Drosophila melanogaster: one gene and its partners. The gene in region 2 interacts genetically with the main gene of each other region. Each region holds a gene or a part of one and is shown on either strand. Other genes may lie near its edges.

Region 1 (3,757 bases), 7.4 Mb from region 2:
TCCAGTGCCCCCTTCACGCTCACCTCGATGCTGGTGCGTTTCTTGCGCTTACGCCCCTGAGCGGCGATCTTGTCAATGGACGTGGGTGAACCCGTTGTGGAGTCCGCCTCCTCCAGCCACTTCTGCAGCAGCGGCTTCAGCTTGCACATGTTCTTGAAGCTCAGCTGCAGTGCCTCGAATCTGCAGATGGTCGTCTGGGAGAACACATTGCCATAGAGAGTGCCCAGTGCCAGGCCCACATCGGCCTGGGTAAAGCCCAGCTTGATTCGGCGCTGCTTGAACTGCTTGGCAAAGGCCTCCAGATCATCGGACGTGGGAGTGTCCTCCTCGCCGCCGCTTATGGCATCCCGATCGCCGCCGCCCATGTGATGGTGTATGTGCAGCTGTGGCGATTCCCCGCGCAGCGTATGATGCAGTGGCGCCACACTCTGATGATGGGCCGCTGCAACCGCATGGGCCGGATGATGGAGCATTCCGTTCATGGCATGATGGTACTGCAACGGTGACCCGCCCGTTGGCGCATAGTGTCCCGCATGGGGGGCATGCCAGGCGGCATGGGGCGAGGCCATGCCCTGTTGGATGCGCGTCTGCTGCGAGAGATGCGACATCTCCTGCTTGACGGTATCAGCGGCCGAGGCAACGGCAGCGGCGGCGGGCAGATGGTGCGTATGATGGGTTTGCATCCACGGATCCGGATGGAGGGCACTCCATGAGCCCAACCCGGAACCGGAACCCAATCCAAGTCCGCCACCATTGCCCTGGCCATTGGGCGATGGCGACGAGGGCAACTGATGGTGGGCAGCTGCCGCGGCAGCGGCATGATGATGATGATGGTGCTGCATGTACTTCATTTCACCGGCATCAGCCGCCGAGCGCGGCGACGAGGTGTGATAGCCACCGCCTCCGAGGGCCATGTCCAGATCACCGCTCGGCGGCGTCATGTACGAGGTCGCGGCCATCCCCACCGCTCTGGGGCTGTTCAGGCCCTCCACGCTGGCGGGGTAGGGCTCCAAGTTGGGGCTCAGTTTAACGACTTTGTACACCGATCGATCGAAAGGAAGACCAGGGTCCCTATGCTCATTCCACTCGAACCGTGAGGCAACCGTCTTGACGTCTTTTACGGGCAACGTGGCAGGCGCAAAAATATTCTATTTCGCTTATTTTGTTTTTTTTTGGGTTCGACGTTTGCTTTTTTGGGGGCGTGGCCCTCGAACGCGTTCAACAAGTTTATTTCAGCTTTGGGTTAAGTAAAAAATCCGACGGCAATTTGCTTGGGGTTTCACGTTTATTTAGCTTGACTAGCGTTGAGCTAACTGCGTTTTATTTGGTTATTTATTTAGATTTTTTTATTTTCGAATTTCATTTAGCACTTCTAACACTTGGCACTTTTTGTGGCGATTTTTCGCAACGATTTAAATCATCGATAGAACTCAGTGGTCAGAACGCAGAACTCTGATATTCAGATACAGATTGAGATTTCTCGAATGTGTGTTTCTACTGGGTTGCTTGACCGATTCGATGCCGATTGAGATTTGAGATTGTGTGTTGTGAGATTTGAGCAGTCAAGACAGCCGAGAGCCCAGGGAAAATTCACGTGCAGACTCGTAGAGCTATCGAAGTGAACTAACGTCATGTCTCGCACCGCAGCTCTACGTTGAGCGCTCTCGACGCTCGGCGGTACGTCACACCGATACGTTTACGCACACCAACGAGCGCAGTACGCACACACACCCCGGCGAGCGAAACCAGTTTGTCCGCTGGCCTTCCAGCGTTCCATGTGTGCGAGCAGCACCGCCATTGGTGCGGCAAGCGAGATAGACGCTCTACCGAGCAACTGGAAGGGAGACTTGCGCTCTATTGGGCTCGCTGTATTCCAGCGTTACGCCCCCAAAACCAACAAAAACAAAAAAAATATATGAGATGAAAAAATAATACCAGAGCCGGCTCTACGAAGTTCCCTCAGTGCATTCCCATGCAGAGTGACATTTTTAATTGCCCAGTGCCCAGTGCGAGCGAGAGAGGGCGAGAGATGATATGAACGGCGACGGCGCATCTCTCGATTTCTTCGAGTCCAGCTATCGGGAACACAGGGATTACACGTAGTGCCATCTCCCAGTTGGAGCTTTTGCGTCCAGGACTTCTCTCTCCCGTTCGGGGAGCTTTGTTTCAGTTCCTTGCAGCTCCTTGGCCAGACAACTTTTCCCTTGGCTTTGTGAGTGTGTGTGTTTGTTTGGGAGGGGGGACATCTGGAGTGGTTGCCATTGCGATTTGAAGAACATATTACTAACGTGGCGTAGAAAAGGAATTAAACAAATAAACAGTTTAAATATTTAACTATTTATCGTTCATCCAAAAAAGTGTGCATAGTAAAAATATTTAAGAGCAAATAATATTTGATTATCAATATGAAAAATAAATAAATCTTGAACTTGAATTTGGACAATTCAAATTTCGCTGAATTCTGTTGAAAATATTTTTTATATAGACCGTGTCCCATTAAATATTTAACCAATGTGTTATATAAGAAAATCTTATTTGTATTTTTTCAGTTTATAATATGTGTGAGTGAAGCTTAATTAAATTAAAGAAAGTAAATTAGTGTTTAGTATGAAATGATATTTAAAATTTTCGTTTAAAAAAATAACCATTTTACCGATGAATATTTTATAATTTTCTTTTTCATATGCATATAAGTTTCGTTTGGCTGCCTACATAAAATATACCTTTCTTTTCCACCTTGATATCTTTCTTTTGCTCATTGTGTTTGTGACTGTGTTTTGACTGCTTTACAGTTAAATTATGTTTCACTGACAAAAGATATTGATTCACTTCATCCGTCAGTTTCATTGATTCTATGATCAGTTTTGCGAAATTAATGCGAAACTAGCGATACATTTGCATAGCTAAAGGAATTGCCATCGTTAAAGTTATCATTGGAATACTGACTTTTGTTTCTGGCTGTGCAGTTTTAAAGTTTTTTGATTTAGCGGAGCGTTATGGGACAATGCGAAGAATCAAATGAAAAATATCCGTAAAAGTTTATGTTTCCTAAAACAATGAATGAATGAAACTCTGCACACAATCAATGGAAATCTATTTCGCCTTCAAAGCCAATTGCCGTCAAATGTATATATGCAGACATAAAATAGCTTATTTAACCAAATTTACCTTTCTAAAAAAAAAATTACTTATTATTTTCCCACTATTTCCCTTAAATATGTCAACATATATTCAGAATTTTCCCACTTAAAAAATATATTTAATTAATGCATAAAATGTTCAAAGCTACCCTCTCATATATTTTCTCATTTAATAAATCCTGGCACACATAACTAGCCCAAGAATCCCATAAACACCCACCACAAAATACTTAGCATAGTTTTAGACCCCTTTGAGGCAGGTCAAGAGCTCAATCAAAAAATTATGCAAACTAAGGTCATCCAGCCGAGCAGACGCAAGCCAGACAAGTTCGAGCGTATTTGCATGAAATTTGTTTACGTTTTTTTTTCCATGACCATATCCTTTGGCCACGCACTTGGGCATAATTAATAAGCCAAGCGTTTCCAACCCAAAAACCCCAGTGACAAAATAAAGTCACAGTCATTGTTGGTCCTTAGACAAAAATTTACATGATAATTAGGTGGCGGCGCTAAATAACAACAGCGAGTGAGTAAAAAACAAAAAACAAAAAAAAAACGCTGGTATTTAAATTTCAAATGTCGAAGCGAAGGAAGAAATCCTGTTTCTGCTGGCCATC
Region 2 (3,757 bases):
ACCCAGACTGCCGGCGGATCCGATGGAACTGTTGGGCGACAAGGTCTGTTGGGCGGAGACCGCCTGGTGCATGTGGTGCGGGGTCATGTGACTGGACATGTGGTGACCCATGCCCGAGGATCCGTTCACACCCTGGCCGGCGGGTCCATTGGGCGATCCGCCCATGGCTGCCAGGCTTTGGGAGTAGTGCAGCACACGCTTGATATCCATGTCCATGCCGGGACTCAGCTGGAGCTGACTTTGCGGTGCGTAGTCCTCCAAGCCTTGGGCCTGACCCAAATGGAAACCGTAATTGGGGTGTGTCGATAAGGTGGCCATTCCAGCTATTTTGAACACTTTGTTTAACTTTTGCTTCTTTCAAGATCAACACTTCACTTTCTAGAACACAATATGTCTGTGGTTCAACTGTGATTTCTCAGATTTTTTCTTTGTCTCTATGTCAATTACTGTCTTGCTTTTGCTTCTGCTTTGCTCTTGCTTTGCTTCTGCTCGGATCGACTGCTTTTTTGTGACTGATTTCAGTAGTGTTCCAGTGCGGCCTACACGACTGCAGCCAAATCCCGTTTCTCTCGGAAGAGAGTTGAGCACGAAGTGCGAGCAACCCTCGCACCATTACCTTTACGTAAGCCACGTGGGTGCGAGCGGGATAGAGGCTGGGCTTCTTACCTGGGAGAGAGCTGCGCCGTCGTCGCGCTCTCACTCACACATAGCGTCTTCTCTCTTTCGTTTTGCGGCCCATTGTTCCACTGGCTTTGTTCCATTGGCTCCTTTATATCGGTTATAGTTGTTCGCCCATTGAGGGGTGTGTTCAATAGAGGAGCTCAATAGAGCCAAAAGCCAGGCAGCTCTCGTTCGGCTGTGCTTCGTGTTATTCGATTTAGCGACCCCAATCCTGTGGGGCAGGGGGAGCTCAAAGTACGGAGCGAGAGAGAGAAAGAGAGCCAGGGCGAGCGCGGGAGCACATTGATTTTCGCACAGTGGGCACACAATTTCCGTTATTGTTTGCACGGCGGCGTTGCACTTCCGCATCTCCTATGCAGTTAGAACGAGAGAGGGAGAGAACACAACTCTCTCCCCGCGTATGTGTGTGCGTGTTTGTTGGGCCAATCACAATGGGTCTTTGGTGTGAATTTTTGTCCATTGTGGGTGTCTGTGTTCTGCTATATACCGTTCTCTATGTGTACTCTGTAGTCAGTACTATGTGTGTGTGTGAAAGGACTTTTTAGTTTGTGAAAAGGACATGGAAACACGCTTTCCATTCTCTTGCCCCGCTCTCCATTCTCGCATTCTTTCATTTCGCTCGCCATTCTTCTCCATTCTTTTCCGTTCCCTTTTTGCCACTTCTTCCTGGCCGCTCCAGAAAGGATATTACTGCAATTATTTACTTATTTGGCCATAGAAAGAAGCCCACAAAGGAGCCAGTGGAAGTGAGGCAAATCTTCACCCAGATGCATGTAGAACGGTCCTCTGTGCTTTATTATAGAAAAGATGTTTTAGCCAGCTTTTCTTTTTGGTTTACCAAATAAGCAGTAGCAAAAGAAAACAAACCTTTTAATGTTGATTGAAAGGACAAGGGCAATCGAATAATTGACAATTAAATCTACCGCAAACTAATGTTTTTTTCATTCGTAACTAAAAGAGTTTCCCAAATAATAATAATAAGTTTTCAAATTCTTGTTAACACACATATTTACCTCTCTTTCGAAACGAAGACATAATTTATGGCTTTTGTGATGCAAAGATTGTAAGAGTTTAACATTGCTTCATTAAACAACATCTTGACCCCAAGAGCCGTTGTTTTAATAAAAATGTTTCTTTCAGGAATAAGGTTGCAATATTCTATTATATTTTTTAAAACTCCATAACCCCAAAAGTAAAACCATTCTCCCCTTTGAGCTTTTATCCCACCCTTCTCTTTGCCTTTCTCCTGCTCATGCACGCACCCACACAACGATGCACCAAAGCTTAGTGCAATTTCCAATTGCATTTACAAAGCTCTTATACCTGGCCCATAGCGTAAGAGCATAAAAAGCTTTCAGCGTTCGCAACGTTTCCGTTGTGTCTGCTTTCCCCAAAAAAGGAAGAAAGGACAACGTAGAACGGCAACAACAACGAATCTCAAATAATAATGAAAGCAAAAACTGTTGTACGTTGTGTAATGGAAAAAGTTTTGTCCGCGTCACATTTTTCTTTCTGAGTTTTCAGCATTTCACTTAGCAGACGAGGACACTAAGTGAGTGATAATAGCACACAGTGTAGGATGAATGCAGGATCCTGTTTCCTAAAATCGCTCCCCACCCACATGCGGCATAAATAATTGTTACATTTGTGATACAATTTATGATGAATTCCTTATTTTATATAAATAAATATTCTTTTAGAATCCAGTTAAAATAAGTGTAAAGAGTAAAACAAATAAGGATAAACGTTTTAAATTATTAGCACATATACTCTTTATGTGTTTTGCTATCAAATTCAATAAATAAATAAGCTAGCTGATGCATTTTTAATTTCATTTTTGCGGAATAGTGACAATCAAAATTGTCTTAAGAATATTGTTCAAATTAGTGGAAGTTGTAAAATAATTCATGATAAACTTCTAATACTCGTAGTTGGATAAATAAACTCTAAATATGTTTTCTGTCTAATTTAATAATTACTTAAGCTAATAATAGATTTTCTTTCTTTGTTATGGTGCCGTGCAAACTGAAAAACATTTTATTTATCAGATATTTATCTGATAAAAATCTATCAGTATAAATACAGTATCAGAGTGCAGTTGAAAATTAAATAAATGTAAATTTAATTTGATCGCATAATGGCAGGTGAGAGATGAGTCAAGTTGTGCCGTGATTACTATTATTCGAATACAATATTAACCATTATCCTGTCGCCAGAAATCACCCTCACCGCTTAACCCATTCGAAATTCACCGATTCTCCGCGGTGAAAGAGAAAGACTCGCGTTTTATTGTTCGTTCCTGCATTGTTGTTGTTTTCGATTGTTGATTGTTGTTGTTTTCATTCAATTGTCATTTGGGGAGCTGGTTTCATTTTTATTTGTTGTATTCCGCAAATATAATTTTTGTCATTCATTCTTTTTTAATTAAATTCAGGAACAATCGCGCAAATGTAAGACTTGACAATGTCCAGAATGGATTCAATGATAATGAAAAAATTAAAACGAATATAAAAGGCAAATGAGGTTACATTCCCATTATTGTTCAGTTGATTGAATCGTTCAATTATTGATATGGCATATATATCGTATCATTTTTGCAAGTTATATATTCTTTTCCCCCTCATTTGGAGTTATGCCTACCATCTGGCGTCGGCAGTTATAAAATGAATCGTTTTGACTGAATTTTCTCACGTTTTCGGATTGGCCTTTGTTCATTTTGCATTTCCATTTTCCACCCACAAGAGTTCTTTTTTGATTTTTCCTGCTTCCTGACGTACGTGTCCATTTGATCGCCTCACAGATTTTGGCGCTTTTCACATGTCATTCCAGTTAAGAGCATTTTTGGCATGCTCACGAATTTCCCTTTCTCTGCTTTGAATTTCTGGTGCCTTCTTCGCTTCGCTTTGATTTGGAGAAATGAAAAATTATAGCGCACTTATCGTTTGATGTTCATAGAATGTGAAAAGTTAGGGGATGGCAGGTCCAGCTAGGGATAATGAAATCATTTTCGTGGAAAAACTTGCATAAAATGAAAAGAAATCTATGAAATGGGAACGAACAGTAATGTTATTATTAT
Region 3 (3,682 bases), 870 kb from region 2:
GTCGGCAAGGCGATTGGTAGCCAACATATAGAGCAGATTTAGGCCCATGAACTTGTACATGTGCTTCGATGATTCCAAGTACTTATCGTAATCATAGTAGTAGGTATTTAACTGGGCCATATATCTCTCGAAGGCAGCATAATCCTTGATGGTGATGCTATGTTCCACGGCGATTTCCAGCATCTCCCGCGATTTGATTAGCTGATCCTTTTGCTTGGAACTCGATGCAGTTTGGATTGTTCCAAAGTTTGACCTCACCAGCTCCAGTTTGAAGCCATCCAGGAGGCGGGAGCAGTGGGTGAGGTTGGGCGCATGTTTGCTCCACTCGTTCTTCAATTCGGTGTACAGATTCGACATGATTACAGCAAAGTCTCGACAACGACTAAATTTTTGGGAATGAAAATTTTGTTCGTTTTGATTGACAGCACAAATTTGGAACGAAATATCGACACTAGCGTTTGGTATTTTTAGGGATATTCCAGGGCTGCTATATATTTATTATATTCATTTAATTGGTTCGTAATTTAAAATTATTTAGTATTTTTTAGTAAAGCCATCTTGGGCCAACTTAGCTGCTAGATGTGAACCCACTTTGCATAAATAAATCATTGCTTTCTATTATGGTTTATCTATCCCAAAAACGTCGTTTTTCATTTTGATTAAAATTTATTTACTTTAACATACTTATGACTGAAAACAGACTAAAATCTACTGTACAATTACATTATTCTTATGGTTTAATAGGTGATTGATTCTACGCCTCAACCTTCAATTCGTGGACTTTGACTTGGGGAGACACTGGAGATGCTTGCGGACTTCCATTGGAGTTGGTGGACAGATTGAAGGTGGGACTTTCGGAGCCGCCCTTTTTCTGCTTGACTCGGCGATTCTGGAACCAGATCTTCACCTGCTTCTCGGAAAGGCGCAATCTATTGGCGATTTCGATGCGACGTAGGCGGGATAGGTAGGCGTTGTGCGAGAATTCTCGCTCGAGCTCCAGCAACTGGGTGCTGGTGAAGGCAGTGCGGATCCTTTTGCTGGAATCGGCATAATCGTTGATCAGCGGCGTGATCTCGACGGGACCTCCCGAAGAGTGGTTCTTCAGTGGTGAGCTATTCGGAGAGCAGGAGGACTCGTGCTTGAAACGCTTTCCTTGAGGTTCATCAAAGTTATTGGTATAATCCAAAGAGGCGGACGATGAAGCGGACGGTGATGTGCAGAAGCTTCCAGGTTCCGGTAAGGGTAATCCGCCCACAACTGGAGATCCGTAGAGGTTGTGTATTGGCGGCAATTGCTGGGAGTTGGGATTGGCCGAGAGCGGTGGCGATGGATAACATCCTTCGTAGTTGCTGAATCCACTGGACTTCCTCTTGCTGGCGAACAGCTGGGCGTATGGATGGTAAAGGGAACCGGGACTCGAACTGACATGTGGATGTTGCTGCAAGGCAGCTGCTGCTGCTGCGGCCGCTGCTGCAGCTGCTGCGTGCTGTTGCTGCTGCTGCTGTTGTTGCTGCTGCTGCTGGATGCCCAAGGAGAAGAGATAGCTGCCCACATAGCTGGCCGGGTAAGGAAGCATGGGTATCGATGGTAACATGGCAGCTGCGGCCACTGCAGCAGCGGCTGTAGGACTTCCTCCTGGCGATCCCAGTTTCTCCTTCTTCTGGCTCAAATTGGGCCTATCGCTGAGTAGGGAATCCATCAAAAATGAACGCGACATCTTGGGTTTCTGGGGTATTTCGTTTTCCAACTGATCTCGAGATGAGCTACTGAACACGATCGCTGACTGTGCGAAACTGTCTGGCTGCTGCGCCCTCACCCGGTTCTTATATACCTCGAGACTCTGTTCTGGGGGTTGGTTTGCCACTTCCACACCCCTGAGGGCCAATTCGAGGGTTGTTTGAGCGAGTGTGTTCGGCCATTTAGTCACCATTTAGCAACAACTGTTGCCATTTACGCTCCGCCCTTGTTCGATCACTCACAATGCCGCAAATGGCAGGTAAGCGATGATTCACTGTATCTGTGCGAAAGGACAATGGCGAACCCTCCTTTGCCATCCTGCCATACATATGTATGTGTGTGTGTGTGGGCTTGGGTGTGTGCGATGGGACTGTATTGGTGTCCCTGTGGAACGAATCAGTCTTTCCAATTCGTATTATCACTCGAGTTTAATTGAAAGTTGAAGAGAGTGCGTAAAAGCTTTTTAAACGGAACTGAATTAGTTCAGCCTAAGCTAGATCAAATTACATTATTGGTATTTCGAACTTTCAATAAAATCATCAAGCAGCTTATTTTATAGACAGTGTTAAAAATGTATTTAATTAAAAATACAAATTTTAATTAATAGTTTTATTAGAAAATCCATATATATTGCTTGCATATATATTTTTTTTTAATTTGCCTAGTAACTTATGTTTGAAAAATAAACAAATGCAACTTCATAAAACTTTAAGTTATGAAGAAGCATCAAAAAAGTCATTATAAGCAATATTATCATATGAGCAGATATTGTATTTATAAGCAGTTCGTTCATTTTCAGGCTTTTACATATTGGCTTTTTTTCATCATTGTTAGGTTTTAACGAATTATTTATATTTTTATGGTAAACAAATCAAATTATATTAAAGTGTTTGTTGTGTAGAAAAAGACAAATAGCATCCATAGCATTCTTGCAAAAATTATTAATATTATAACCATCTGTTTTTACTTACAAGCAAGCGCAATTGTAATTCTTTTTATAGGAAGATCTTTTAAATAGCCAACGAAATTTACACAGTATCTTGTTTGTAATTTATTGCATTACAAGAAAACCTCTTCAGTGACCCTTCACAATCGAATCGATTAATTTTACAACCATTGAAAACTGCAAGCCCTCCAACCGTTTAATGCCAATTTCATGGCAACTTATGGCCCGAAGTGGTGGCTGCCGAAATCTCGAATCGAACCTTTACTTCTACAACTCCCGTTTACCAGACCCTCCAGCACATTGGGTATATGTATATGTATCTCTTCTTTGAGTCCTAGTCCTCGCCTTGGCGTAATTTTATTGATGCATTCTTCTGCTTGTGCAACTACGGCGAACAATGCGGCAAGGATCATCCATTCAGGACGATCCCATTCATGGATGCAGTCGTTTGGTCCTTTGACAAATCCAAGACACGACGCACGTTGCGCCTTTGTTTGTGTGTATTTTGGGCCAGGTCGGGACATTTAAGCCAGACAGTACGTCGCCGAAATGTTGTTCTTGGGCTACATTACACAGAATTATGGCGGCAGTTTTATCATTTGTTAACTGACTTTAGGGATTTACCTATAATTGTCCTTTTCATGGCATTGTGCCGAGGTGCGGCATTGTCGCCCTTCTGCCAGTTGATCGTATGTTAAGTGGCTATAAAACCGATCACAATTGCTGACGTTAATTGTTAATTGTCGACCGACTTCTACGTAGGCGATCCGAATGTTCGCCCACTTTTTAAGGTTTTTAAGTATTTGGCTTCTGCTTAATTGGCGGGCTGTGCAAAAAAAAACAAAAAGGAATCTGGACACTGGTCAATAGCGAAATCGGGAGCAGATGCTGTTGTGTTAATATTTTTGTTGGAATTTCTGCTCTTTGGGCGTTGCGTTGGTCTCGTGCGAGAGCTCCTTTTGACCGCCTTTTAACAATTGTTTGGGCCACTTGAGATTT

Evidence for each region.
Region 1: of D (region 2) and vvl, changing one enhances a phenotype caused by changing the other (phenotypic enhancement), as found in Drosophila melanogaster (one study listed by BioGRID).
Region 3: of D (region 2) and ind, changing one enhances a phenotype caused by changing the other (phenotypic enhancement), as found in Drosophila melanogaster (one study listed by BioGRID).

The regions. Positions count from the first base shown.
Region 1 is NT_037436.4:6,788,028-6,791,784, reverse strand, and holds the start of vvl (ventral veins lacking), read right to left. Parts: upstream 1,628-3,757; 5' UTR 960-1,627; coding exon 1-959. UniProt on the Drosophila melanogaster protein: Binds to a DNA sequence element required for the expression of the dopa decarboxylase gene (Ddc) in specific dopaminergic neurons. Could also play an early role in specific ectodermal cells, and a subsequent role in the embryonic nervous system.
Region 2 is NT_037436.4:14,177,021-14,180,777, forward strand, and holds the start of D (dichaete), read right to left. Parts: upstream 1,601-3,757; 5' UTR 1,549-1,600; intron 1,473-1,548; 5' UTR 319-1,472; coding exon 1-318. UniProt on the Drosophila melanogaster protein: Essential for segmentation and CNS development. May modulate the actions of other transcription factors, including gap and pair-rule proteins.
Region 3 is NT_037436.4:15,042,148-15,045,829, forward strand, and holds ind (intermediate neuroblasts defective), read right to left. Parts: upstream 1,778-3,682; 5' UTR 1,718-1,777; coding exon 755-1,717; 3' UTR 652-754; downstream 1-651. Other genes in the region: Rpn12R (regulatory particle non-ATPase 12-related), read right to left, coding at 1-357.